Schizosaccharomyces pombe: one gene and its partners. Changing the gene in region 4 together with the main gene of any one other region gives a genetic interaction. Each region holds a gene or a part of one and is shown on either strand. Other genes may lie near its edges.

What was found.
Region 1: of crm1 (region 4) and ned1, changing one suppresses a phenotype caused by changing the other (phenotypic suppression), as found in Schizosaccharomyces pombe (one study listed by BioGRID).
Region 2: of crm1 (region 4) and mcm4, changing one suppresses a phenotype caused by changing the other (phenotypic suppression), as found in Schizosaccharomyces pombe (one study listed by BioGRID).
Region 3: of crm1 (region 4) and alp14, changing one suppresses a phenotype caused by changing the other (phenotypic suppression), as found in Schizosaccharomyces pombe (one study listed by BioGRID).

The regions. Positions count from the first base shown.
Region 1 is NC_003424.3:4,988,759-4,995,400, reverse strand, and holds ned1 (lipin, phosphatidate phosphatase Ned1), read right to left. Parts: upstream 4,274-6,642; 5' UTR 4,256-4,273; coding exon 4,196-4,255; intron 4,126-4,195; coding exon 3,844-4,125; intron 3,696-3,843; coding exon 2,067-3,695; 3' UTR 1,772-2,066; downstream 1-1,771. Other genes in the region: mrpl25 (mitochondrial 54S ribosomal protein mL59), read left to right, coding at 957-1,355, 1,467-1,505; csn71 (COP9/signalosome complex subunit 7a), read left to right, coding at 4,737-5,354; nickel-dependent urease Ure2, read left to right, coding at 6,156-6,642. UniProt on the Schizosaccharomyces pombe protein: May have a role in the maintenance of the nuclear envelope structure and in minichromosome stability.
Region 2 is NC_003421.2:897,589-905,181, reverse strand, and holds mcm4 (MCM complex subunit Mcm4/Cdc21), read right to left. Parts: upstream 4,795-7,593; 5' UTR 4,781-4,794; coding exon 2,045-4,780; 3' UTR 1,757-2,044; downstream 1-1,756. Other genes in the region: SPOM_SPCC24B10.02C (NAD/NADH kinase), read left to right, coding at 283-1,632; 19S proteasome regulatory subunit rpn1302, read left to right, coding at 6,027-6,157, 6,355-6,439, 6,550-7,500. UniProt on the Schizosaccharomyces pombe protein: Acts as a component of the mcm2-7 complex (mcm complex) which is the putative replicative helicase essential for 'once per cell cycle' DNA replication initiation and elongation in eukaryotic cells.
Region 3 is NC_003421.2:1,009,487-1,016,890, forward strand, and holds alp14 (microtubule polymerase alp14), read left to right. Parts: upstream 1-1,956; 5' UTR 1,957-2,275; coding exon 2,276-4,705; 3' UTR 4,706-4,828; downstream 4,829-7,404. Other genes in the region: elongator complex subunit Elp2, read left to right, coding at 1-1,012, 1,055-1,390; SPOM_SPCC895.08C (uncharacterized protein), read right to left, coding at 5,162-6,634. UniProt on the Schizosaccharomyces pombe protein: Required for bipolar spindle formation and proper chromosome segregation. Has a role in connecting the kinetochores and the plus end of pole to chromosome microtubules. Also required for the activation of the spindle checkpoint pathway.
Region 4 is NC_003424.3:2,801,081-2,809,881, reverse strand, and holds crm1 (karyopherin/importin beta family nuclear export signal receptor Crm1), read right to left. Parts: upstream 5,959-8,801; 5' UTR 5,761-5,958; intron 5,495-5,760; 5' UTR 5,375-5,494; coding exon 2,138-5,374; 3' UTR 1,629-2,137; downstream 1-1,628. Other genes in the region: transport protein Ugo1, read left to right, coding at 75-1,340; SPOM_SPAC1805.16C (purine nucleoside phosphorylase), read left to right, coding at 7,982-8,801.

The DNA of each region.
Region 1 (6,642 bases), 2.2 Mb from region 4:
AGCGTCTTATCGATTCCTTGTCAACTTGATATCACCAACAGTTCTATGCACTACTAACTTTATGTCACACTGCGTTACATGTCATTATAAATAATTCCTTTAGTATTTCTTATATTCTCCACTAATTGGAGTCATCGAGAGATGACCGGACTTTTCCTACAATAATTTTTACTTTTATTTATGTTTTAAAATACTCAAAATAAGCATGATTGAGCTTTTTTTGCTTACTCTCAACATGTGTCAGTAGGAATCCGTACATGATCTGATATGATAATTTTACTGGCATCAGAAACTCTATAACCACACACAGCTTACTTGAACGGGCCTCATTTGATGGAATCATAGAAGCAATCACAACTAAAAACGATAATGATTGAAAGCGTTTGAATGCTACGTTGGCGGAACACAATCACACATACTGTCAGCCTTCAATAATTAAATAACGCAACCCAACAAAGATGCCTAAGGTAGAGGGACTAATGCGAGAGGAAGCCATCTACGCAGTATGTAAAATATTTTAAGGAGTTTGTATAGTTGCTAATTTAACAACGATATACATAATAACGAAATATGTTAGTGATTTTTATATTTGTATAAAATAATACCCTGGATAATTTTGTATTTATTAACTATAGTACTGCTACACCGTAATATTATATTAATTAGTATATCCATTGGAACTAAATTGAGTAACTAAGAATTAGTCCGACCTAATAAACGCTAATAGTCAATAAATTGGCTTAGAATTGTCTGAGATAATAAACTCTTTTAATATTTCAAACGATGAAAAGTTTCGATTAAGAACTCAAGAATGAACAGTAATGATTGATTTAACGTAATATAGCGCAGTTAAACGTTTGCCGACATCTTAGGTCAATGTATTTTCTAATACTAATAGTGCTTGACTCACTGTCTTTTTGAGCTTCTCTATAGATTAAAGAGGTTTTAACCTTATCATGCCAGTCTTTACCAAGGAAGCTTTGGAACGGCTTCCTATCCAATTAGGAAACTTTTTTAAAAAGTTTCCGCCTGAAAATCCAAATGCATGGACGACAAATCCAAATCGTCAAAATCCGTTTCTCGCAACTCGAAATCCTCAGAATGGCCTTGTAATCAACCCTTACTATTCCAATAGAAGGCAAGCTGAAATATATAAAGAGGCCAGGCTTCAGAATCTGGATAATTTACTCCCCCAACAAATGTCATGGCAGAAAGATTCTACACGCCATATTTTGAAAGGTCTTCTGAATCCTAAAGGAAAAATTAGTGAACGAAAGAGGGATGAGATTTTGGAAAATAGGCGTTTAAAACTTTCGGAATCATTGAAGAAAACTTCTAAATTTAAAAATGAGCGCGTATGTAAACTGTTGTACTTTCATGATTTTCTTATTTCTATCTACTGATTTTGATTGTGAAAAATTTACTATTATTATTTTTTTAATTGTCTTTATTAACACTCTTTTTAGCAAAAAGCTAGCAAAATAGCGAAACCTTCTCCTTTCTAAATTCTTCTTCTGCAAAGTGGGTTTCACGTAATACTGTTAATACCTTTTGATTCCTGTTTGTTTATGACTTCCTTAAATTTTTTTAAAGATTCATTTAAATTTACTGCTATATTACCTCAATTATGTGTTTACTAAAAGTCTTTTATTGTGCAGCATGATAAAAAGACTAATATACTAGTCTATACATTTTTGTAATCTTTACTAATAATATGATTCTACTTTAATAGTTAAATTACATTTAAATATTAGGTTTTGAATCTGCAGACTTAGGATTTTAGAATGTGATTTATTCGTAACTTTTCATTATGAAGTATCTTGTTATCTTTAATTTTTAGGAAGAGCGCATTTAAATATAAAAAAAATATTTAGCACTTTCTCAAAACTCATTACTTGTGAATGAGTAAGTAAGTCATTATATGATTTATGTAACTTTCTAAGCTTATTAGTGCATTTCAAAGCCGACGGAAATTCGTCAAAGTGATTTTAAGATTTTGGGGCATTAAAAAAAAAGATGGACAGTCGAGTAATTTTTTTTTCATCGGAAATTGGGAAAATGCAACTTCAAACAGCATTTTCAACGTCTTCTTCTCCTTCTTCATCTTCTTCACCTTCAAACATTAATTCATTGAAAGACTTAATCAATGGACTAGGAGAATAATCTTGAGCATCTTCCTCGTCAATCCCCTCGAATTCTTGATATCCGAATTTCGTATTTTTGGGTGTTTTGGGCGACTTGGATGTGCTTTTATTAGTATCGTCTTCTTCTTCATCGCTAAGTTCAAGCAAAGGAGATCTCCAAAAATTCACATCAGTAAAGCTTGAGACTTCATCTCGGGTGCTAACCTCGATGGGAGGGAAGAAATGATCGACAAGCTCATTCATGTAAACATAACTACTTCGGTGACCGCTTCGCTGCAACAGTTCAATATGGACTTCGCCAGCAGAATTAATGGTAAAAATCCTAGTTGGTGGAACTCTGACATGGTTATAAGATATTGCGTCTGTAATACGATTGCCAAAGCCGGCGTAAAATGGTGTTCGAGGAACAGGTAAGGCGAAAATATTACAAAGATCACGCAAACAAGCCATTTTAAATACTTCTGGCTTCCTTAAAATTACTTCTCTATGAAGAGCAGCCATAGTGCGATCAGGTGATAAAATAACAGGACCATCGGGTAGAGAGTATCCGTTCTGTTCAATATTCCGGAGATAATGTCGAGTAGAATCGGCTTGGCCTACCGAACGACTAGTTAAATACATAATTTTGTAGCCGTTGTTAGTGATATCGGTATACAATTTGGCAACTCCAGCATGAGTCCAATCCTTGCCGATCAAGGTAAACATATGCCCTAGAGCATCAGATTTGGTAATTGTTCCATCAATGTCCGATATAACGACAGGATCGTTGTGTTTCCAAAAAAAAAGATTAGCAGTGCAAATGGCCTTACCCCCGTTGACTCCAAAGGAAAGCTCATTTTTACCGGGCTTCAAATTTAATGAACGAAGCTGATCAGAGGTTAAACGAAGGGTTTTAGCATATTGAGGATATGACTCGGAAACTGGGCTCAAAGACTGTTCAGATAAAGAGTGTCGACGGCTTAAATCAGAGTCCTCATCCATTAAAGCCGAATCGGACTTTGGAGACGCAGGAGTGCGAGATGGACTTGCAGGAGGACTGTGTCCATAGACCTCCGCAAACTTTTTGGCATCTTCAGAAGCGTGAAACCACAGATTACCTTCTTCATCTTCACGCAGAAGCTTTTCAATCATGGGAAATTCATCCTTGAATGTTTCCCGTGCCAACTCTGCAATGTTTATATTCGCAGCAGAAGATTTATAACCTGTCATGTCAAGCATCACATCACCATTATCCCCAACACGTGTAGGAAGTTCTTTCCCAGAAAGCCTTTTCCCCAATTCCTTTGCCTTTTGTAACAATCGTAAGTCTGCTAGCGTTGTTGCAGGCATCGACGGAGTTCTATCACTTCCAGCCATTTCCAAACAACTCGAATGTCGAAGGTGCTTAAAGCCGGTTGGAGGTGTTTGATCGGCATCGGATTTCGAACGGCGAATTAAATCTCGAGTAAGAGGGAACTCGTAACCGTCCTCCATCAAATAGGTATTCGATTGATCTTTCTCATGATCCTGAGATACTTTATCGAGCTCGAGATCTTGAGGCTCAGTGACATTCTAAAGCAAGACTGTTAGTAATTTTCGTGATTGAGATAAACTAAAAGCCGAAAGTAGTTGTGCAGAATTCTGATACCGTATTCATTAAAATATTGCACATAACTGTTTTCCACCGGACAAGTCAGCCCCAGTTTACTTTTGTACATACAATGGATGGTGTTTGCTTTGGCGAAGTGGTAGGCGACACAATGGGAGATGTTTGAAGTTCTCGTGGAACTGCATTCTCAGTAGCAAATACAAAGAACGCTTCACCTCCATCCCCAAGTTTCATATTAAACCCAGTCAATTGACCATTGACCGAAAATTCAACCTTTTTGTCTGAGGGCAAAAGCAAGCTAAACTTTCCAAAGCGAACATGAAAAGGTGAACATGCTAATGTTTTATCCTCTTGCTCAACCACAATCACGTCAATGGCTCCAGAGAGAGTCGACTATTTACGAACACTGTTAGCATATTTGTTCAATTGTTTAACCCATCATTTCTAATTATTGAGAACTTACTGGATTAATTGCATTCCACGTCTTCGTAACAGAGTCAAACGCTCGTCCTACATATTGCATCGTGCAGCAGCTACGAACAGAGGTAAATGGGATGACTAGCATACCATTATGAGCAAAAGCGTGGGAGGAAGGGCGAGGCAACATCTATGGTCCCTGCGGTCTGTTACGTTATTTGACCTTACAGTCCCATACTATAACAAAAGTAAGCAATGTAAACAAACCACCGAACTTCATAACACTGAACTTGGAAAAAGCGACATTTTTCTTTTCTTTTATATAGATATATAATTTGTTTAGAAAAAATAGAGATTTTTTTATGAAATTTGGATTTTAAGGACCATTCTTGTTTTTGCAGGGTCCCACGCATAAGTCTCAAAGTAAAGATATTAGGAGAACTTTTGCATCCCTTTTTATGTTCCTTTGATTACTGAAGGGCCATTATTTGAAAATACACACGAATACTTTTGATTGTGGCTTCCTTTGCACGTTTTAATAATATTGTGGCACATCATTAACCATCACATTTACAATATCTCTTGTCATGGAAGAAAAGATTTCACAGGCGATTGACGATCCGAATGTATTTTGCTTTCAGGAATTATGGATTGAGTGCCAAGAGGTCCAGAAATCACAGCCTATAGACAGCGCCGTTCTAAGGACACTCGAGATATTCTGCAGAGGAGATATCAGAGATGCCTCATCTGAATGGAATGAATTGCGTTTCAAAAAACTTCGACTTCTTACACTTATCGATTTGGCTAATAGACATGTTGGAAGTTCCGTCTCATTTGAAACCATATTGGTTCATCTACAGTTAGATCGGCTTCCTCCCTCTGATCCTACCTTCACGGTCGAATATTATATCATGCAGGCCATGATGAATCAAATTTTAGTGGGAAAAATTAATGCAAAAACTCAGACTTTACATGTATCTTGGGCACTTGAAAGATTTCTCGATTCCAAAAGGATAGATGAAATGAAGTATTCCCTTGACCGCTTCATCGAAAGGTGCTCGAATATCCTTTTTCAATTAGATGCAGGAACGCCCAGTGTATCAAAGTCTTTTAAACGTGCTAGTCGCATGTCAAGTAGCGACGGAATCGATTACATGGTGTTTGATAAACGCCCTCGTCCGGACGATACTGACTTTGATCTATAATAGCATACAAAAACTTGTTTCCTCTCCTAAAAGCCATCTTATCAATATAAAGGTTGTTTCGAGGATATATGGACGGAACAATATAGTGCAGATGTTAATTACAAAAGTTGAGGATTTGACAAAATTAAATTTCGTATAGACGTTTTCTTTTATCTTACACCTGCCCTATTTTTTCCTTTCATGGTTCATCGAGATGTAAATTCAAAAGTTGGTGGTCTCGTTACTATGTTTTTTTTGTCTCGCATATACATTATGAGCGTTTTATGGTAGATAATGATTTTTTTAATAGATCTAATTAATATTTTAAAAATGGGTTTTGGTCATATAATTTTCATGCGATGATATAATTTGCTGCGTGTAAACACAACATACTATACTCAAATATAGACTGGAATAATAAGTATACTAATTATCGAGAAATGGTCGACATCAGTTCGTGCACAAAAAATAAACAATACTTATTTCCCTTTCCTTTTACTTGAATAAGTGCTCAAGCGAACTGCTACGTGCCAACTTTTGTAAACTTCATAGTTATGCTTTTTTTGACACCAATTCAACTTCATGCTTAGCTTTTCGTTACATTACCTTAGTTTCTTCTTGTTAGTTGCGTACAATCGGCGCACCCTGCCTGTTAGACTAAGATAAGATATATGGTGGTTAGATTAAATGCATCCTTCAGCAACTTACCGATAAACGTCTCAACACGAACTAATTTACAAATCCTTAGTCGGAAAGTGTAAAATTATATCGATAAAGTGAAAGGAAGCGTATCGGAGATATCACTCTAGCGTTGTTCCAACTATGCAACCCAGAGAGCTACACAAATTAACGCTTCACCAGCTGGGATCTTTAGCCCAAAAAAGGCTGTGTAGAGGGGTAAAGCTTAACAAGTTAGAGGCTACTTCACTTATTGCATCTCAAATTCAAGAATATGTTCGCGACGGTAATCATTCCGTAGCAGATTTGATGAGTCTTGGTAAAGATATGCTGGGTAAACGCCATGTTCAGCCCAATGTCGTTCATTTGTTACATGAAATTATGATTGAAGCTACTTTCCCTGATGGAACCTATCTAATTACCATTCATGATCCCATTTGCACTACAGATGGTAATCTCGAACATGCTTTATATGGAAGCTTCCTGCCCACGCCAAGCCAAGAACTGTTCCCTCTGGAAGAGGAAAAGTTATATGCTCCGGAAAATAGCCCTGGTTTTGTTGAAGTCTTGGAGGGCGAGATTGAACTATTGCCTAATTTACCTCGTACTCCCATCGAGGTACGAAACATGG
Region 2 (7,593 bases), on a different chromosome or scaffold from region 4:
TTATATTTATATAAAATCATCAAGTAAATTTCTTCATCAAAACTATGAAATTGGTGGTGAGGACATGCTGCTCATGTTACGTAAACTCAGCTCTTAGAATTTACCAAGATACCTACACATTCATATGTAGCAATATTTAATCTCTTTCCACTCGATTATACTTGTAGATACAATATTGTTGAACCTGGAAATTGGAGGGACTTGACTAATCCAAATTGGACTGTTTAGTAGCTGCAGCGAACATCGTAGGATAAGCTTGGTATTTCGTTTTAGAAAATCAGAATGGCTACCAAAGTTGAGGAAATAAACAAGCTGAAGAAAAAAAATCTTCATTTTCGACAATGCAGTGCTGACAGCTTGTCGAATTCCTCAATGCAGTTTGATTTGTCGGGCCTAAATACACCGGTTGGAGAATTGGCAACTTCTAACCTCCCTTCACCCGCTCATCCTCCCTTTGGTGAGCTTCATCAAGAATCTAGGACTTCTAATTCCTCTGCGATGCATATAGAGAATGTGGTTGCTTCCAGGCTTATGTATAATGAGGTTGCGAATGGCTCCTTTGCCTTGGAACCAAAGAATATACTAGTTGTAACGAAACCTCGAAAGCATTCGTTAGTTTACAAGACGGCAGAAATCACAAAATATATACTCACAATCGGAACACCGGAAACCAAGGTATATGTGGATATGAGACTAGCTCGTTCCAAGCGCTTCTCTGCTCATAACATCGCTAAAGAAGCAAATACCGACATTGACCGGATCAAGTATTGGAATCCGTATATTTGTTTGATTAAACCAAGTATTTTTGACTTAGCTATAACAATTGGCGACAACTCTACATTATTGTACACATCGTGGTTATTTCAAAAAATTGGGCCACCTGTTCTTTCCTTTTCCGATGATGATGTCCCTGGTTTTTTGACTCATTTTAGTTTATCTAACTATCAGCAGCATTTGTATCAGGTCTTAACTCAAAACGTGTCACTCAGGTTTTGTTCGCGGCTTCAGTGCTCTTTTCATAAATACGATGAAAAAACTAAGCAGTATTCTTTGGCTTCCACAACATACTCTCTTGATGAAATACTCATTAGTAGAGGAGAACATCCATTTATTAGTAACTTGAATGTTTACAACAATTCCGAACTTATGACTGTGGTTCAAGCTGATGGACTTGTTGTAGCTACTCCTACAGGATCCACCAACATCTCAGCGAATGCTGGTGGTTCTCTGGTACATCCTGCACTAAATGCGATTTTAGTAACACCAGTTTGTCCTCATACGCTTTCTTTCCGTCCTATTATTTTACCAGATTACAATGTTTTGAACGTTGAGATCCCTTTGGATTCTCGAAGTAGTGCATTCTTTTCCGTTGACCGTCATGAATCTGTGGAGATGCATAGAGGCGACTATTTATCAATTGTTACGTCTCATTACCCTTTCACAACCATTCAAAATCCAGGATACCAATGGACCAAGGTATTAGAAGATAAATTCAATTGGAATGTGCGTGAGCGTCAAAAGCCCTTTTCTAGAAAACCAAGCTTGAGTGATGTTAAGGATACAAGTGACGATAAATTTGATATTACAGATAATTCCTATTGCAGAGAATTTTCTGCAGACATTGATGGTTAAATTGCTATCCATTTTTCTTTTAATGACATCTGACTACTGTTGAAAATACTTAAAATTAGGCACACACTGCCTCTACGAATCATGGCGAATTATTGGTTACGATTGTTTAGATATCTGTTAGTTTTTTGAAAGTTTATGTTAATTATTATTATTATTATTATTTCAACTTTGGTATTAACGAATTTATATTCATAATGTTTACTCATTGTTCAGTTCATACTCAAAAGCCGAAAAAAAAAAGAAAAATGAATGTTAAGGATCCCTCGATAAATATGTAAAATATTTTTATAACAAAAAGAACGTGTGTATATATAACAAGAAAGACATTCGTATTATGCTCTGTAGTCTTTGATTTTCAACAACGACCTATGGTTTATGGCTCATGAATAATACCAGCTTATTCGCTAAAAAATTAATCAGTCTGTGCAATTGAACGTACAATGCGATGTCCAGCACTGGTAATAACCTTAATACGTCCTCGCCTTTCCAAAGCACCCAGACAAGCTTCGAAATCAGAAGCATCTAAGCGAGTAGAACTCTGCTCACGAAACCGAGTTAACAATTGACTGACCAACATAGTTTTTCCACCCACAGTTAAATTTGAAATTAAATTCGCCAGTTCTTTGACCATATCTTCAGGTACCAAAGTCTCTCTTTCATTAACATAAATTAGGTCAAGAGAAATCTTTCCTGTTGCAGGATCAGTTGCATAATCCTTAATAGCGGTCTTAATCAAGCGAGCAGCTTCAAGAACATCTCCTACCTCAACAACGTTGCGAAGATGCATTTTCGCATGGGCCTCAGATAGACGAATCATTGATTCCAGTTGTCTTGTTGTAGCAGTAATTCTTTTCTCAGATGCTCGCACATCCTCCCCAAGCTTTCGCATACCAACATAAGCATTCACTAGTTCCTTTGCTGCCTCTTCACTAATGACAGGATTAATATTATTTCTAGCATATGTGATATAGCTTGTCAAAAATTCCACACTAAAGACCTCCATATCTGTAGCATGTTCAGGAGTATCTTCCATGTACATAGAAACAATATGATTTGCGAGCTTCCTATCCAGCGTTTCATCCACGCGGTCTAATATTAAATACACCAAATCAAATCTAGATAAGAGAGTAGGCGGAAGATCAATATTTTTGGTGACAGGCAAGTCTGGATTGTATTTGCTTCCAATTGGATTTGCACTAGCTAAAATAGAAGTCCTAGCGTTCAAAGTAGTAATAATGCCAGCCTTGGCAACTGTAACGGTTTGCTGCTCCATAACTTCATGAAGAATAGAACGTGTAGCATCGGACATTTTGTCAAACTCATCAATGCAGCAAATGCCCCCATCTGACAGTACCAAAGCACCACTTTCCAAGACTAGTTGCTTCGTGTCTTGGTCACGAGTAATATAGGCAGTTAAACCAACAGCAGATGAACCCTTGCCACTAGTGTAAACACCTCTGGGTGCTATCTTATGGACATACTTCAAAATTTGAGACTTAGACGTAGATGGATCACCACACATCAAGATATTTATGTCTCCACGATATCTCGGACTTGCGCCTTTATGAAAAGACTTGTTCGTTCCACCAAATAGCTGTAGCAAAAGCCCCTTTTTAACATCATCCATTTCGTAAATGCTAGGTGCCAGAGACCGGGAAAGAATATCGTATATATCGTCCCGCTTTGAAACTTGTTGAATTTTTTCCACTTCTTCGTCTGATATTTTCCGTACTTCATCAATTTGTAAAGCAGCATCTTCAGCAATATCGCTTTCCAACGTAGAAGGATCCGTACCCAAACGACGTTTGTCCTGCTTTTTTATGTGAACAACGTCGACATAAGTTTTAAATAATGATTTTACAGTACGCATGCGAGGGTTCAAACGAACTGGTACACAGCGAAAAATCCCAGTGACTTCTATACGATCTCCTGCTCTAGCAGAGTCAACCAGTTCATCATATACGCACAGACTTACAGAGTGTGGGGTTTGGCCATCCGGTACCACGTCAGGTGTCTCTTGGAGTTTAATAACTTGCTTATCGGCGAATTCAGAACGATTATGAATTAGCTGCATTGCATTTGTAGCACCACAGACTTCTCTAGGGCATTTTATGGGCTCAGCAATTCGCCCTCTATCGATTTCCACGGTAACACAATGACCACAAACTGAACATCGAAAAAATGCTTGCTTCATGTCGGGTATTACAGGTGTACACCTAAGTACCAGACCTTTAATAGAGATCAATTTGTCAATGTCACCAGGATTAAGATCACGCATATTAATGCATTTTTCAAGATTAAAAGGACGAATTTTGTAAATTTTAAGCTCAATGTCATTAAGAACATCTTCGGGAGGATTAGTTCCTAACAAGTCTAGCATAACGTCTTTAATGGTTTGATCCATGATAGGAATGATTTCTTGAGGGTATGAGTAAAGCTGGTGATATAGCTTCTTGGTTGGGGGATAATGCTTTAAATCCTGAACATCAAGATTTAATATTTCCAAACCCATAATACGCATGTTTCGTAGCGCTTCAATATACACTAGTTGTTCGGCATCAGGAGGTGGCATAAGTTCATTTCTGTATTCAGGTCGATACTTTTTCTTAAACCCACGTAGAAATCCACGAAAGGAAGCGATACTTTCTTGAATAGATACATTTGTTCCCCAAATGACACGGACAGTGTCATCAGCTACTTCACTGCTTGGGTGCGCCTGACTAAACGTGAGTGCATCTGACCCAGAAAACAACAAGCTACTAGGAGTGCTTACCCCGGGACGTTGAGGGTCAACTTCTCTTCGACGAGATGGGGTAGACATTTGCACGCTAGAATGGATGTCTCCACGTCTTGTCGAGCGCGGTGTTCTCTGCGAACTACTGTCAAGGAACAAGTCATTACGCTGAGATAAAAGATGAGAACGTGAACTCTGAGGAATGTTTGGACCTGGTGAACTAGATTCAAACAGTAAAGGAGAGGAAGCGAGAGGTGTACGCGCTGTAGTCCTCGGTGTTGTAAGGCGTGTAGAACCAGGAGACGAAGCAGGAAAAAATAACGGAGAAGAATCCACTGCTTCTCTTGAAGAGCTGTTAGCTCTTCCAGGAGTCCTCAACTCATTGGCTCTGCCACTTTGCTGACTAGAGGACATGACTCGTGGTGGGTGTAGAAAGACAGTGTAAGGGAGTAGAGTAACTACTCATAAACATACAACAATGAAGAGATAAATAGCATAGCAAAGATTTAAATAATTGGAAATTTGTATAATTTTTTAACAATTTGTCATATTCTCCATTGATCATCAAGCTACCAGTAATTGACTATGAAAATGTAAACTAAAAAACTTTGCGACACTAGATATTAGGATCAATTAAAGCAAATTTGTTATCATAAATAAGGTATTATGAATTTGTTATTGACTTACTTCCTTTTAAGTGATATTCTATTTTTTTGGACGAATGAAGAGAAATATGAAAAGAATGTTGAAATAAAGGATTACATTGCTTTAATTAAACGTTATGCTAGTTTAACATTTTGAGATGATCGTTTTTGCAATTTGGAACTACCAGTTGTATTTGAAGGTCGAATCTATTAACTGTGATTTGACGCTAATTGAAGAGGGCAGATGGTGATTTAGTAATTTTACTAATAATATTTCTTAAAATAAGGTTTATTTTGAATTTTCTCTCATATTGAATACCTGAGTTGTTATTATATTAACCATTTGTAGAGTTCATTTGACCATTCGACTACTGGACTGTCTCTAATAAAAAAAACTTAAGTCTGTATATTATGAGTTATATGGTGTGAATTTCAAATAGTGTATGAATGTATTTTTCTATTATTTCTAGTGAAATACCATTGTGTAGGACGCATACTTTTTCTCGATTATGTTTTGCTCTTCAAAACCTGAAAGGATTATAGACATTTATTGTATCTTGATTTTCTTCTATGTATAATTGGTGAAAACTGGTTTATTCTGTTTTACTATTGATGCCATTAACGATGATACAAAAATTGGCTTATGTCTTTTCAAGGCCCTTTAAGAGATGAATTCCACTGCATAGTGGAACGTTCCTTTTCCTTTTAAAGTGTAGTATTAATTTGCTATTAAAACATCTTTTTAGGCGAAACCATCAAATGCGGCTTGATAAATCAGCTTCAAATATTAGAGCAGTTAACCACCTAAAAAGATTGTCTATTACATGATAAAAGATGATTATAGTGGCGACAATTAGAAAATTAAATGATTTTGAGAAATCATGTCTATAGACATGATACGTTTGTGTGGATTACTTTGCTCACTTGCACTGTGTACACTGCATACTCAACTATACCACAACAATTCACAAGGTCAATAATCGTGAGCTTTTGAGTTGACAAAAAATAAATTACAAATGGAATCAGTTTTTGGAAGAGTAAGAAACGAGACTAGCGAGAGAGGAAAGTATGGATTAGTCTCCGTAAAAGCTGGAAAACTTCAAAGAAAGCCAGGAACGAATATTCTGCAAGCTGATCACCGAAAAGGGTATGTACTATAATAATAATATAGATAGTAGTCCTTTCTACTGGGAAAACGAAATTCTACCCAAAGAATTGTTTATGAAGCTTCTTTGCATGTTTACGTTGGAAGGATGCGTGAAAATCCACACTGTTGGGTTTTGTGGAATTGTTTTCTGTTTATAAAGTTAAAAGATCTGATTTTTAATACTGACATTTGTTTAGAGTTATCTATATGCAAATGGCTTCTGATGAATTATTGCATTTCTATTGGAAAGAAAGGGCCAGGGTTTCTAGAGAAGTAGAAGATGTATGAAGACAATTTAAATCAATTGCAAAGTATACCTATTTATATATATAAATTTACTTTTGCGTTTTTTTTTTTTTAATTTGGTTTATGTTTACTAACATATAATGAAGGACTACATCATATTTCCAGAAGAAGCAGAGTTTATCAAAATTGATGAATGTACCACGGGACGCGTATATGCACTAAAATTTAAATCCTCTTCGCAGATTCATTTTTACTGGATGCAGGAGTATAGTGATGAAAAAGACAAGGAAACAGCTTCCTTAATCAATCAATTAATTGCTGACCCTGTGAATACGACTCGGACTATCAACTCACATAATAATTCTAGCAGTAGAGGTACGGATGATTCATCAACCAGCCAACTGCTGCAACTGTTTGGTGCAGCAAGCCAAGATGCTCTGCAAGACTTTAACTGGGAAGTTTTATCACCTACAGCCGAAGCACCGGCTATCCTGCCAAGATTTCCTAACGTTAACGAGTCAGCAAACATGTATCGTGCGTCAAGTGAGTCGAATTTGAATGGACCACATGCTACAGCTGGTGAGAATGGCGAAGATCACGAGGAGGCAACGGCCTCCCCTTTGGATGAAAACATCGATTATACTCATTCACGTACGTTGGAATTATTAGAGCAACTTCAGCCCTTGATTTTGAATGAAACGACGTTTGTCGAGCCTTTCTCCATTGACAGAGAATCTCATCGTGTGATTACACATCCTAGAGTGTATCCCAAGATTTTCCCACATTCTCCTTCCGACCTTTTGCGCATCAGCGGTCGTGCAGAGTTGAGCGAAAATCGAGATTTTTTTAAGCACTTGTCGAGTTTAATGGAGGCAGTTGCAAAACCCGAGTCAGAGTCGTTGCGTGAAATTTGCAACTTGAGTTTAGAGCAAGTGCAAAGTGCTAGTGGAGCTGAATTATTTTTGCATGCGTTGTACGACCGTTTGGTGAATGAAGGGGTGATTGTGATTTCGCACATAACACAAGAAGGTTCTGATGGCGAAGTTGAGGAGGAAGGAGATGTTGAAATGAGAGAAAGTAACGAAAAGGACGAATAAGAAGCGTGGAGAGGAAAAGACGAATTCGTATATATATATTTTAATATATGTTATGTTTATGAACAACAAGCTAGCACAAAGAACGTGATGTAA
Region 3 (7,404 bases), on a different chromosome or scaffold from region 4:
GATGGCTTCTTCTCACGGATCTACTACAGCAACTGGTAGTGCTGGAGGGTTTTGGGGAGGTTTGTGGAACCCAAATGGTAATTGTGTAGTATGCTGGGGAAGAACTGGTGGATGGAGACTCTGGAAGCAAGATGCTGGGCAATGGCTCCAACTTCCATCTATTTCTGGTCACACAAAGTCAGTGAAAGGCGTTGCTTGGGATCCTGAAGGTAAATTCTATTTATCCGCCGGCACAGATCAAACTACTAGATTGTTTGCACGTTTTAAAAAGGATAATGCTTGGCATGAAATGGCTCGACCTCAGATCCATGGCTATGACTTAACCTCTATATCCTGTATGCCTTCTCGAATTGGATTTTTGAGCTGTGCCGATGAAAAGGTGTCTCGTGTTTTTAAATTCCCTAAAACAATTGTTAGACTTCTTTACCGTTTATGCGATACCAATATTGGGGAGGAAAGCTTACCTGATGCTGCAAATGTTCCTTTACTAGGTCTTTCTAATAAAGCTACCACTGCATCTGAAACTGGTACGGTAAATGCAGAAGAAGTTCAGACTCCTGTTGCTGATGTGATTGGTTCTTTGAACCATCCTCCTTTTGAAGAACACTTACAGCGTTTGCTATTGTTTCCGGAAGTTGAAAAATTATTCGGCCATGGTTATGAGGTTTATGCATGCGCCATATCTAATAATGGTAATATTGCCGCGACTTCTTGTAAATCACAAACCCCCGAACATGCTGTCATTCGGTTATACGAAACGCAGTCATGGAATCAGCAGCAAGTCCTTAAAGGTCATTCTTTGACGGTTACAACTATAAAGTTTTCACCTGATGACCGATACATTTTAAGTGCTGGGCGGGATCGGTTGGTGTGTTTGCATGAGCAAGCCGAAAATTTATTGGATTATAATAACTTTGCTTCTATAAAAGCGCATTCTCGTATTATTTGGGATGCTAGTTGGGCTCCCAAAGAAATGGGTTACTTTTTTGCGACTGCTTCGCGTGATAAATTCGTGAGTAATTTTTTATTTGATCAAATCTTGCTAACTATTTAGGTTAAATTTTGGAAAATCAATGACAATAAAAAAATATGTGATGTTGCTGCTCTCCAATTTTCTGATGCTGTTACCGCTGTTGACTTTGCTCCGTTCTTTCACAACGATGAACTCTTGCTTGCGGTAGGAACTGAAGCTGGTAAAATATTTATTTGGAGATGCCCGAGAGAGAATCTTACCAAATGGTACCCAACACGTTTACCAGACCACATGGCTCCTATGGAGTCAATTAACCAAATTTTATGGAAGCCCACTTTTGAAACTATGGGGTTGTATTCTCTTTTAATTGCTGGCGAAGATACCAGTGTACGACTTTTGAACGTTACGTTGGGATAAACTTGAAAATAAGTACAATTGGTAATGTTAGATTGGGTTGGCCTGTTTTAAACATACCTGAGGGGTGGTTAAAAATGCTTAGATAAATTATTTATTGTTATAATTGTCGATAAATAAAAGGAAGGTTAATGGGTTGTTAGGTTGGCATAATTAGTGCTGAATGGTAGACATTCATCAGATTGATTCATTACTTTAGTTGTTATATATATATATAAATATGTATTTTTAATTATTAGTATCAAAAACTTTGGTGTAGTAGTCTTCTCAATTAACTCAAACACAATTTTACATGTTAGAGAAAAAAACAACACATAAAAATTTTTTTTAAAAATAAATTATATTTAAAAGGTAGATAAGGCAAGATTTTAACTAAGAAGTATTTTCAAGCGTAATAGAATGCAAGTTGTAAATCTAACTAAGAACATTGATTACTTCTACGAAATTTAGTTTATTTTTTTTCCCTTTCTATTACTCGTTTACATTTATTGAAAGAACGGAGCAAGCTAGGAAGTAATTTATATTCAACTGAATGACTGCATTTTCGGTAGTGTCCAAAAGTAACACTTACCAACTCCAAACATCTATTTTGCAAACCTAAGTCTTAATAAAGATACTTTTTATTAAAGGCTATATTTTCTCAGGTTTGAATTTGTTGACTCAACGAGTTAATACTTATATACTCCGGCCTTGCTAAATCGATATTCTGTAAAGTTTGACAGTGTTGTATTTGCCTACAGGCTTAACGAGTAATTACTTATTATTTATTCAAAAAAGGGAGAAAAGGTACTAAGTACAACTTTTGAGTTTTAGAATTGGAGTTTTGGGAGAGCATTTGCTGTTTATTTATCTTATACGCTCCTTTAATTTTTGGCACCCCGGAGGAACATGAGCCAAGATCAAGAAGAAGACTACTCCAAACTTCCTCTAGAATCAAGAATAGTACATAAAGTATGGAAAGTGCGTCTATCTGCTTATGAAGAGTGCAGCAAATCGTTTTCACTTTCAGCAGATGGTTCGGATAATTGCTTTGAGCTTTGGAATAATCAGAGTGAATTGTGGAAATCAGTGCTGACTGATAGCAACGTAGCAGCTCAAGAAGCTGGTACCGCAGCGTTTGTAGCTTATTGCAGGTTTTCCGATCCTTCTCATTTACTTAAAGCTCGTGAAATATCAGTCCTTTCAATTTCAGAGAAATGCTTAACATCACCTCGCGCAGGTACAAGGGAAAATGCACTAGAAGCTCTTATGCTATTAGTTGAAGCAGATTCAGCTGCGCCAGTTATAGAATCAATCATTCCTTCTTTATCGGCTCGATCCCCGAAGGTAATAGCTTCTAATGTCGCTGCCATTGCTAGTCTAGTTGAGCAGTTTGGTGCTAAAGTTATTCCTTCAAAAATGATTATTCCACATATCTCCAACTTGTTTGGTCATGCTGATAAAAATGTTCGTAAGGAAGCATCTCGTTTAACTGTAAACATTTATCGGTGGACAGGGGATCCTTTAAAAGATTTACTATTTAAAGATCTAAGACCAGTTCAGACGAAAGAGCTTGAGTCTCTTTTTGCTGAGCTACCAACAGAGCCTCCCAAACAAACTCGTTTTTTGAAAAGTCAGCAACCTACATCAGAGCCGAATGTTGAAACACAGGTAGAAGAGCAACCTGCTCTCGAGAATGAAGAAAGTGAACCAGAACCGTCAGATGATCAATTTGATTTGGTAGAAGAAGTGGACGTTTTACCCAATGTGGATCCTAACCTGGAAACTTTAATGGCTTCTTCGAAATGGAAGGATCGTAAGGAAGCGTTAGACAAACTACTTCCTGTCTTATCTCAACCAAAGATCAAAGACAACGATTTTTTTAATTTAGTTGCTATTCTCACAAAGTCTGTTTCAAAAGACGCAAATATCATGGTGGTTATAAATGCTGCACACTGTATACAAGCGATGGCTAAAGGTTTACGCTCAAATTTTTCGAAGTATGCCTCAACATCTATTAATGCACTGTTGGAACGATCCAAAGAGAAAAAGGCTAATGTAATCGAATCACTATCTTCTGCGATGGATGCTGTTTTGGCTACATCCAGTTTGGATGACTTAGCCGAGCTCATTGCTAGCTTTGCCGGGAACAAAAATCCTCAAATCAAAAGCTCCTGCTTTAGTTTGTTCTCGAGATCTTTCAGTAATATGACATCCTTACCATCTAAGTTTACAGTTGATACCTGTGCTAAAGCATGCGTTCCTGGTGTTTCTGATACCTTTGAGCCGGTGCGTAGTGCGGCAGCAGAAGCCTTGGGTGTTTTGATGAAACTCGTTGGTGAAAGAGCCATTAATCAGTATTTAAGTCCGTTGGACGACATCAGGAAATCTAAAATTCGTTCTTTTTATGAAACAGCTACAGTAAAGGCTAAGGCACCTACAAAAAAGTCGAAAGTTAAACCTTCAAAACAAGAAGAATCAAAAGTCGTCGTACCTTCAAATGCTAAGGCTGTCAAGAAATCCGTTGTTCCTTCTAGTCCAGTTGTACCATCTCCACGAAAGGCAACTAACAAATCGCTTTCCATGGATGTATCAAAGGGTAATGCATTTGAGAATGGTCCTTTGTTACCAAGACCGACTACGAGGCCAGTTTCTCGAGGGCTTTCACGAGGCACATCTTCCAGTTTGCAACAAAAAGTAAAAGCTTCCACTCCTTTGAATTCGGGAGCACTTAACGAAACGGTGCAAAATTTGAAGAACATGGAGTTGGACGATCCGGCTCCTCAACCGGCTAAGCATTCACGAGTTGATCGTTATGAACACCCTAAAGTATTAGAAGACAATGACTCTACCATTTCGTCTTTAGAATCTCTGAAGAGAGAAAACGAGGAGTTACGAGAGCAGTTGAAAGTTGAACATGAAGAGAATATTTCTATGCAAAAACAACTCAGTGAATTGAAAGGTGAATTAAATACCTTACGCAGTGCCAGGAAAGCCTCACCAATAGGAGACAGAAAACCTGCATTTATGCGAAGAGCTAATACTGACTTTTTAGAGCTCTCTACGAGTCCCTCATTTCAACGTTCAGTGAGGGAATTTGAACCTACTAGACCTAAACTTTATAGCTCTATAGATGTGAATCAGAGATCCCCTTTAGCATCTGCGAAAACAAATGGTAATTTCACGTTTCATGCTGAATTACCAAGATCACCGTTTTCGTCAAGGGCCAATAATATCAATCCTGATTGGACTAAAGCCATTGATTTAGCTGCCAAACTAAAACAAAAAATTACTGAGATGAAACAAACAGACCAAAGACATCAGGGATTGATTCACTAGTTTTTAAATTCTTTCGTTTACATTCCAATGTCCCTTACTTCCCTTTCTATTTTTTAATGTTTTAGAATAATGATAATATCGGTTTACAAAAATAATAACAAAATACGTATTCTCGTTTATACCAAATTTCTTAAAATCAGATTTAACTATAGGTTAAAGATGGAGTCAAATGGTAACTCAAACACACAACACAAACAAACATATAAAATAAATAAAAGAATTTTAACGTACGAATTTATCGCATTAAACGTATTAGTGTCATTAAAAAAAGTAGTCTGTTTAATTTTGCATCACAAGTATACTGTATAGCCGTACCAAGTATAAACGAAAACCTCTTTTTAAAAAAATTAAACATAATAAAGAAATTGTTAGAAGAAAAAAAATAAAGATATGCGTAAAGTACAGACAGTCGAAAAAAGAGTAACAATCACATGAGTCTTTGCCCAATGAAAAGTTCTAAGCTTTGTTCAAAAAGTCCGGAGGACTGATGTTGCTAAAGTAGTCCAAAGAAGCGGTGGAAGGAGTATCGGCATCACCATCATCGTCCTCCAGGTAGAAATAAGAATCACGATAAGGGGAATAAGGCGGTAAATGGGACAATTCCGACTCTAATTTCCTATGAAACAGATATATAGGAAGCTTAAAATCCAAGGAATCTAGCCACTCATTTAGTTTTTTCGCATTTTTTCGAGAGTATTTAGATAAATTTGGTAGGGAGGCTTCGGAAGGAGAGGCTAAAGATTGCTTTACGCTGTTTTCAGTATCGCCATGCCAGCTTCCAGAAAGCGAAGAAGATGATGATGAGGGTCTTTTCATAGAAAATAGTGAATTAGATTTAGCTTTGTGAGTCCGAAGGAATGGGGGAGCGAGTTTTCGGGATAAAGAGGAGGGTTCACGAGAGTGAATTGATACATAAATTGAATGTCGCACAAGGAGGTGTGGATTTTCTGTACAGCTTCCGTGAATTAAGTCGTTCACAGGAATTGTGAACTCAACTCTTGAATGGAGGCCAGGAACAATAGGTGGAGACCACTTACCATCCTCAAAAAGGACAGTAATGGAGTTTCGAAAAGCATCATTAAAAAGAAAAAAGGTAATGCTTTGGACAAGAAGCACTCGTATATAATAGCGTTTTAACTTCTTTTCGACTACAGGAGACGAGGTACGAGATAATGAAGAGCGTCCTTTCATATCACAATCATTACTCAAACGTGGTAACCGATCTTGAAAGATAAATTGAGAATCTTGGGAGTTAATAGCAATGGGATCTATATGGGGATCATCTGTTCCAGCAGAACCTGGGGTAGATGACAGTACATCTGCATCTTCGGACTCCAAATCAATTAAAAGTGGGCAAACACAGCCTGGTCCTTTATAGCACTGTTGAGGATATTTAAAGAACGCAGTTAGAAATGAATACTTTGAAGACTTCATTGATAGCGAAGTAAAACACGCATCGTTTAGGGGCGCTCCATAACGTATGTGCTGAGATTCAGGAATTCGATCGGGATTGAGAGTAAAAGGTACAACTACAGGAACATTGGCTGACTTTGGCATACGACAATCATCTTCAGTATACAATTTAACCGTTAATTTGTAAGAAATCGAACCTTCTTGAGTCACAATCGTTCGTGGGGTGCACCTAGGAAGTGGAGCAATGATATCAAACGTATAGAAAACTCCTTCCTTTACTTTGAAATTATTTCCAAGATCCCAGTCGATATGATTGAAATGACACTCCAGCGGTAACTGTCTCTCAGTAGGAAACTTTTTCAGACCAGTAAAGCTTGCAGTAAGGTATTTACAATAAAATGTATCAGTTGTCACAAAGTACACCTTGTATTTAAGGATAGAACAAGGATGCTGAACTTCTTGAAAGGTGTCAGAAACCGCTCCTAAAATATGTATTTTGTCTCTCGAATTGTCCATGTAAATTAAGGGCAGAGACAATCAAGGGCACCAAAAAAGAGACATTTCAACGTCAAGCTTAACCTTACAATCCTTTAACAAAGAATTGAAAAGAATACTTGGCAATTTATAGTTTTCGTAAATTAAATGGAGGAGATGTTGTACGAGATATGTCATTTAAATGAGAGGGTCATAACAATGAAATAACGAAGCTTCAGTATAATTAGTTCTATCGTTATCATTCACCATATGAGCGGCGTTAGCTATCATTATACAATGAGTGCTCTTTAGTAACGTTGGGCATGAGACTGATACTCACAATATGACATGCAAGTTAATCCTTTATTCCAAAATAAAACTTAATAAAAAGCATGAAGCCCAAATGAACTCTCATTCTTCCATTAGGTCGATAAAAGTTATTATTATATTTATAATGGTATACTCTATAGCCCTAGTCATACTAAGGATAGCAAAGTAATATTACCTCCATTATATTATACATTACAAAGAAATGCCGACACAGTTTTTCGTATCCTTACAGAGAGTGCAAAAGACATACTAATTACTGTTGCTAAGCTCCATATTTCTGATACTGAGGCACAACGAAGTTTTCACTTAACTTTAATGAAATTTATCATCTCGTAAAATGGAATGTAAATACAGGTGAACGGGTAAGGAAGTATTAGCTTTTCAGTTGTTTGAGTAAAAAAATAATTTTCAAATACATGAATTATGTTGGTAAATAAACAATCTTATTCAGCACCTCCTAAAGCAAGTAGACGCGGAGTTAA
Region 4 (8,801 bases):
CAGTTAAATCTATATATTGAATCATTCGTAAACGAGTTTGGAGAACTCATTTTGGAAAAGAGCAAGCATACAGCATGAATCCATACAGACCATATGTCGTGGTTAACAATGTTGAGCCTACTTTTTCGATAACTCCAGAACCAACGTTTGAGACGCAACCGACCATAAGCAAGAGTGAGATTTTTGAGACACTCAGAAGTATTCTAGTGACCAAATATTTAACGACGTTTTTTGTACAGCCATTGGAAGTAGCAAAAACTGTCTGTCAAGTAGAAGAATATTTACCAAAACGAACTAAAATTGAGCGTGATGGGAAACAAACAAAGGAGCCTTATGATGAGGATATTCCCGATGGCACAGAACAGGAAGGTCTCAGTGATGATGAACACGAAATCTATGCTTACTTTGAAACACCTACCACAGAAAAGGCAGTAACAGAACAGCTAGCTGAGAAACTTTGCGTCGATGCGTCTGGCTATGTAACTGATCCTTCGAATCTCATCGAGAGAAGCTATACAATTCATTCGAAAAGATTTTCGATTAAAAGTATCATTAGTGAGCTATGGGAGAAAGAAGGAGCTAGGGGTTTATGGAAAGGTCATACAATCAGCTTTTTGCATAACTTACTTTATTCCGGCCTACAGTCCTGGCTTTCGGCAACATTATCTGGAGCTCTCGCAATAGCAGATCCAAACATTATTTCACCTATAGATTCTGTTCGGCCTCTTCTTTCCCTTTTCATCAAATCCATTACTTCTGCGATCTCTGCTCTTATTCTATCTCCCCTTGATATTGCCAGAACAAAAATAATTCTTTTCCCCATTTCCTCATCTTCCTATTTGTCTTCAGCTTCTGAAACTTCTGGCAATTCGCATAAAAAATTTAAACCTCTTACTATCAGACAATGCTTGAAAGCATTGCCTTTTTACTGCCCTTCATCGTTAATTTTACCCACAGTTTGTTATGTCAGCTTACCACCATTTGTTTCGAGTGTGCTTCCACTAACATTCCGCAACTTTTTGGGCTCATCTCCTACACTTGATGCAATGGTTGGCTTGGGCACTTCAGCCGTTCAATTTCTTCTCAAATGCCCTTTAGAAATGGTACTTCGAAGAGCACAAGCCCAGTATGAATGCAACCTTCCACCCCAAACTATCGTTCCCGTAGGCAAATACACTGGTATCGTCGGTACCATATGGTGTCTTTTAAGCGAAGAAGATCCGGGTAAATTTGGAATAGAAGGTTTGTATCGTGGATGGCGAGTGGGTATTTGGGGAATGTCGAGTACCTTAGCATTGAACTACATCTCCTCTAATTTGCGTGAAGAAGTTGAATTTTAGTATTCAGGTTTTGGGTCTGATTGTCTGTTTATTAGACAAAGTCAGAAGAGACGAAAGTTCACATGGTAAATTACGGAATTCTCAAAAAGGTTTTAGTTAGGTGATGTTTTGTAATTTGGAATTTTTTTTATTCCAAATTACTACACGAATAGTCATATTTGTAGTTGTAAGTTTGATTTATGTTTAATGTTTTCGTTTTTCTTTCTTACCGTATTCTCTAACGGAATAGTAGTAGCTACATAATTTATTAAAGGTAATAATACATTTTCTAGAAGCAAAAACGTAGTTATGTGAAAATACGTTGGTGTTTCCTTTAGCAAGGTTGCATAACGCCAGCATTCAATAAAAAGGACTTCAACGTCGCATTGAGATCTCTTACACGAGACTTCATAGTGTTATTCAAGTATAGCTGCTCGTTCAATTTATAAACAGTATAAAAAATGAGGCAACCCAAATCCTTACAATGCTTTAATTTTCTAATTTACAACACTGCACGGAAAGTTGAATCTCTAAAGACTTTATGCTTTTTTATTACTTTTTTATATAGTTTGAATTGCAATCAATAACAACTGGCGCCATCATTTTGCTATCTAACACGTTGAATTACGGGCCATGTCATGTCAAAAACCCTTCTTGCTTTTCAAAAAAAAAAAAAAGAAAAAAAAGGAATTAAGTAAACTTCTCAAGTAACAGGGATAAATAACATCCACAATTAAGTCAATAGTAAAAGATACCAAATATATAATTCCTTTCATATTTTAAAGTTCTAAGCTTAAATACGTTTTTGCTGAAGAATATCATAGTTCTTCCTCCTCCATAGTAGGCATATCGACAGGTTTGATCATACCAGGAACAGTCATAGCTTTCTCCAGTTGGGCTTTTTGTTGAGCAGCCAACTCTTGTTCTTTCTCCTCCAAGTAAAGTTCAGCGTTATCCCCGCCGAATTCTTTCAATTGAATTAAAAAGTCACGTAAAGCAAGTTTAAATTTGATGCTGTCCTGATTAAGAGCTAGCACTGTCTGTACAAATTCTTGGATTTGGATAGGTTGAAGATGGGGGAAAGCTGTGACTAGTAGATTCATGATATACTGTCTTAAAAATAATTGATTGTTCATTTCCTGGGGGAATTGAGAAGGATCGTAGAGAGGTACAGTAATCTGGTTTGATTCAACCAGATAGAAAAGCCGAGCCAAAATTAAGCTTTGAAGCTTAAAGCCAGATTTGTGATCAGAGTCAGTCAAAACATACAATATATCTTGTAGTAAGCTAATATAATAAGTTTGGAAAAATGCATTTGAAACATCAGGTCCCATACTCGCCATGTTATTAATAAGTTCAAGTAAGATGTTAAGTCCGGTTTCTTGAATGTCGCGACTAACATGCTTAAAGGACCATACAATACTATTGATCACTAGTTTGAATTGTGGTGCCGGGATGTTGAGCAAAGCGGGGAAACAATTCAAGTTAATGGCGCGTAAAAGTTGAAAAAATGCTGCACGATGTTCGGGGTATTCCGAAAAATCTTTACTAATCATTTCAAGGGTGCATCCAAAAACAGCATCAAGAACAAGAGGAATCTTATCAGTAAGGAGTTCGCTAAGTTGATTGACAATGGTGGTTATCAAATTAAGAACTTCGGCATCACGAGCGTCAGGAACATTTTGTAAATAATCAAGCAACACTGCTTCGAAAAGCGCAGGAATGAGAGTATTTCCGACCAACTCCAAATCTTCCGCTCGACTTATATAAGCATCTACTAATTTCAAAATTTCTTTTTTGATAGTTCGTAATCCCCTGACGTGGGGAGTTTTGGTAGCAATATTTCCTTGGGCAGCAACCACTTCTGATATTAAACCGCTAACAGCCTTGTAAAGACCAAGCATATCTACATAATTTTTAGCAATTTGAGGATAGAAACCGGAACCAATAGAAGTACATGCAGCAACGTTTGTCTTTAGAACATTTGCTAATATTTTAACGGTCTGAGGGTCCCCTAAAACTTGAGCGTTTTGTGCAGCCTGAGCGACAATATTTTCCCAGGCCTGATTGGGTAACGCCATAAGGTCAAAAATGAGACGTTCTTGAAGATGTTTTTGAGGTTGAGCAGAAATCATATAACCGCACGCCTCATAAAAAGTATGAGTCTGTTGAGGAGTTAAATCTTCAGTCGTCTTGGCCAAGTTACGAATAATTTCGTTGATAAACGGCTCCGTTTCTCCCAGTTGTTGAGCAACAAAATGGCGACGACATTTTTGAGCAATCTTAATGAATGTATCACAAGCCATATCCTGAACACCTTCATGATATTCGTGCATAAACTCAAATAGCTTATTGACGACGGTCTTGAGAAATTTCCAATGAGCTTTTAAAAAGCGAGGATATTGACCTACAACGTACATAATGTTAGAGGCAACAACAGCCTTATTATCTTTGCCACGTTTCATTTCACAAAGGCCCAATAAATCTTTAATCACGTTAACAAGAAAGCGCTTTTCCATTTCTTCATTCATAGCACCGGATATTGAGCCGATTGCCCAACAAAGAGTATTCAAATTTTGCCAAGACCATTCTGTACCAACAACAATACGTGCAAGTTTTTCAGTCATAACGATTTCAGTATCAACCACGTCCAAGTGAGTGAGGTACACAAGAACCTCACGCATAGATTTATAAAGGGTAATTGTATCCGTCTCTTTAACAAATTCACGAACAATTTCACCTTCGTCATTTTCGACGATGAGGACTTCTTCGGGCTTGACCATGTTTTCAATCATAACCAATCGAAGAGTTGAAAGTATATCTTTATAGATATGTTTCCTTAAAGGAAGATTGGCTAACATATTAGGATTAGAAGAAATGAGAGATGTAGGACTAGAAAGATTAAGTAATGGATTCATTTCAGACATGGGGATTTGCTGCATTTCTTCATAAAGCTGAGCTACTAATTTTGACCAATATTCCAGGCAGATCTTGAAAATTTCTCGCTCGTTAATTCGCGAGATATTAAGAAGGTAGGAATGAGCATTAAGAAGGACTTCTTGATTTTCAGGATTTTCTAATGGTCGAAGATGAGAGCTAAAGAAAGCGCAAAGGAAGAGAGCCAAATTTTGGATAAAGTCTTGCTCGTTTGTGCTACTTTCTTCATAAGCCTCACGAAAATCAGTTTGTAAAGGAAGCATAGAATTAACAGAGGTCATCACAAGGTTAAACATTGTAACAAATTTATCGTTGTACTGAGGTTGAGAAGTAAGACTAGCTATTTCGGTAAGACATTCAATGGTAACGTTTCTAAAATCAGGAACATTTAGGAATCGATTTGTAATTAACTCAACAATGTTTGTTTCAAATATATAGCCAAGGGGTATCCAATTCAAAAATCGGAGAAGTGTTCCCAAGGTAGCCTTGATTAGGCTAGGTTTTTGCGCACGTTCGAGAATTTGTGAGCATAGTTGAAAAATCTCGGCGAATTCGCCACACATTTGGTTTTTTAAATTTTTGGTTTTGAGCTGAGTCATTTGCTCAGCTGAGTAATCAAAAATTTCTTCACTCAGAAGACGAAGGACTATCATGTTATTTTCACAAAGTGAAAGGTTTGTTTTACTGGCTTGGACAATTTCCGGGATGAAGTTGGGCCAATTATGAGGCCATTCTTGTTTAAGAATCTGAACGAGAGTGAGGTCCAATTTATTAAGAAAAGTTTTTTGTTGTTGCAGGACAGTTTCGTCTGACGAGTTCTTTATCATAACAGCAACAATATAATTGCGAATTCCCAATCGCTGCTCCTTGGGAAGCATTTTCCAACGAGTGGTGATAAGCTTGTCAAGGACGGAAAGAGCGATATATTTAGTTTGGGGATATTCTGATTTTTCCAAGATGGAGTAAGCCTGCGACCATGCATCTGGATGTGCCTGAAATTGGGTCAGGACTTGTTGAGCCTGTTGTTGCTCTGCACCGACACCTTGGTAAAAGGTTTGGACAACACGATCCAAAAGGGCAACGTCTAATTCGCGATCGAATGCCAGGATGCCCTCCATATTTACAAATCAAAAAGCAAAAAATGTAAATTGATGGTTGGCAACGTATTGAACAAATGTCTTAAGTAAAAAGAAAAGGATAATTACCTCAACCTTATGCGATTGTATATGTATAAAGGACTTCAGCAATCAAGTTAGAAATTTGAAAAAAAAAATAAAAAAAAGTAGAAGAAAAATTAATTTTATCGAATAGAAACAAAATAATATAAATTTTTAATCTCCTACTTGCTGATTAATTACTCCTCCCTTGCAAAAATAATAGAGAAAAAACAATAATTAACTCAAACAAGAGATCGAAGAACAGGAAATCGAAAGATAACAAGATCCTTCCTAAAAGAAGACCAAGGAAAATAACACGTATCTACACGAGCGTTCAAAGTGCTTACCTCCTTACTATAAATAAAAACCAAATAAATATTCCAAATTCTCTTGTTTATAACGAAATTCCTCGTCCCAAGAGATGCTTCACGCGATAGAAATTTGTCTTGTACTCAATGGAAACAAGAGAATGAAAGAATGTATACAGTTAAAGGCTACTGCCTAACGTCCCAGGGTAGAAATGCAAAAGAACAAGTGTTGTGTTGGAGGTAAAAGGTGTGGCCGCAAGGCTGGCAAAGAAACACGAAGAAGAATAGCAAGCATGCAGCGTATCCAATCGTTTTGCGTTATCTATTTTAAGGAAATTTAACAACGTGATTATAGGCAGAAATTGATGGGAATGAAGTAAACATAAAATGGAACGAGAATGATGGCGATAAAACTGAGTGTATCAGCAGATTGCAATTTTTTAAAAAAATGGTATTAGTTTTGAAACAAAATTTACTTCCTCCGGTAAGACGTTCGGTCGTTTCCGTGAATGGGAGAAATGCGGTAAGAATTTGATCGTAACGTCCGCGTTTAAACCAGAAATAAATGTGTCGTACGTGGATTTTTCTGTTTGTTTGTTTTGAAGTATTTAGCAAAGACAGGTCATTTGAAAAACATCAATTTATTTTTTTAAATTTTTTTATTATGAATTATTAGGTATTTTATGGTTTAATTATCAATTTACAAGTCAACGAGTAAATCAAAACAGAAGGAAAGTTTATCATTCAGTAAATTAAAAATTGTTATGAATTTAAAAAAATTGAATTACAGCTAGAATCATGTTTCCAAATTATTTTAACCAAGTTTATGGAACATCGGCACGAAATAATATACTTATTACTAAAGATTTGCCATTTCATTGTGCTTTAGTAATTCGCCTTTTTTGCTTTAACTCCTATAGCCACACAACAAAGATGTTGCTTATGTAAATAAAGGCGACTTTCCGTATGAAATGCTTCGCGGTTACAGCCACAATTCTATATGGAAATAGAAAAGAATGAAAATTGAATTAAACTGATCATGTTCGTTATTAACTCGCAGTTACCCGACATTTAGTGTGTTAAATAAAGAAAAGGGAAGGAAAAAAAAATCATTAAACCAAATATTGACCTTTGGAGTTGGCATGGCTCTCAAGGTATAAAAAATCCAATGCATTTTTTTTAACTAATTTATACGATTTTAGTCAGGTTGTGTACATATACTCTAATAAACCCAGACAATTTACAGTACACGCAACTATTTTTATAGATATATACCTCTATTTAATTAGTTTGTACAATTAAGCGGCTATGCCCGAGTGGTCTAAGGGGGCAGATTTAAGAGGCTTCTGCCTTGATCCCTGCTGTTGTAAAACGCGAGAGTTCGAACCTCTCTGGCCGCATTATATTTTACATTTTTAAATGTAAAATTAACGTGTTTTTGATTTACAGTTGAACTAAATTTTTTTCAAATTTGTTGAACATTTTGCTTTTGTTTATTCTTTTTTTTTCTTCTTTTTCATTATTCTTATCTGCAACATTTCCTTATCAAGCACGAAGAAAATTTGAATTGATAGGCGCTTTCATCCGACCAGCACTGTCCTAAATATCGCATTTGTTTGCCAAAGCCCGTATATAAATTATGTATTTCGGTGACTTTTTGTAATACCGGTTTCTGCTTTTCTGTGATATGTTGAAGTAATAACATTTGTAGAAGTATTTATATAGACCATTTCTTACTTAATTCCCTGTAACAATTGTTGGATTCAATTCTGTGTTTTCCAATTACTCTGTTCTCACGGCTAATATTAATTTTATTACACATATATTCAGCAAAAAACAAAAACAAAACAAAATTAAATTAAGCATAGCATCAAGTGTGTGCCAAAAAATCGTCGTTTTCTATTTATTTTTTACTATTTTGTTTTGATATTCTATAAAGGTCAATTGCCAAGATACTCCCAGCTCTTCGTCTTTGCTTGCACATTATTCAAAACTCTGTGCATTCTATTGTTTGTATTTCAGTTAGTATTGTTATTGCTATCGATTTTCCCATCTAATTTTCAAAACAAATTAACACTGATTCTATCGGCCCTATTTACCCACCACTGCATATTTTTAAAATTCCTTAAATTCTTTTTCCTGGCTACTAATACGCCTAATAAATATTAAAGATAAAGAATTCCCTTTTAGATATTAGTTCTTGCTTTCTTTTTTTATACAAAATTTCTGTTTTTTTTTTCGAAACTCTTCTGTAACAACAATGACTGCTACATCTTTTCTTCACCAGGCAAAACAGCAACCCCATCATACTGAACCTTACATTAAAGCGCTTGAGGCTCGTGAATACATCATTGAACAAGTCCCCGAAGAGCTTTCCAAGCCCAAAGTTGCCATCATTTGCGGTAGCGGTTTGGGCACATTAGCCTCTGGATTGTCGGCTCCAGTTTATGAAGTTCCTTATGAAGATATTCCTCACTTTCATGTTTCCCATGTTCCAGGTCACGCATCCAAATTGTACTTTGCCTTTTTGGGCGAGAAACGCGTTCCCACTATGATTTTGGCTGGTCGTTACCACTCTTATGAGGGATATCCTATAGAAGCTACCACGTTTCCTGTTCGTCTTATGAAAGTCATGGGCGTTGAAGTCATGGTTGTTACCAACGCAGCTGGCGGCTTGAATCAAGGTTTCAAAGTTGGTGATTTGATGATTCTTAAAGATCACATCAATTTTCCTGGCCTCGCGGGCATGAACCCTCTCAGAGGCCCTAATGCACACGAATTTGGTGTACGTTTCCCCCCATTATCGGATGCTTATGATTTAGAATTACGAAAATTGGTTTACGATGCTGCCAAGGCTCACAAGGTTAGCCGTACAATTCACGAAGGTTGTTATGCATTTGTATCTGGTCCGTGTTTTGAGACTCGCGCTGAAAGTCGAATGCTTGCTCTTATGGGAGCTGATTGTGTCGGCATGTCTACGGTTCCCGAAGTAGTCGTTGCGCGTCATTGTGGTATTCGTGTTCTTGCCATTTCTTTGGTTACCAACAACGTTGTTGTTGAAGAGAGCCCCTCTGCCAAAG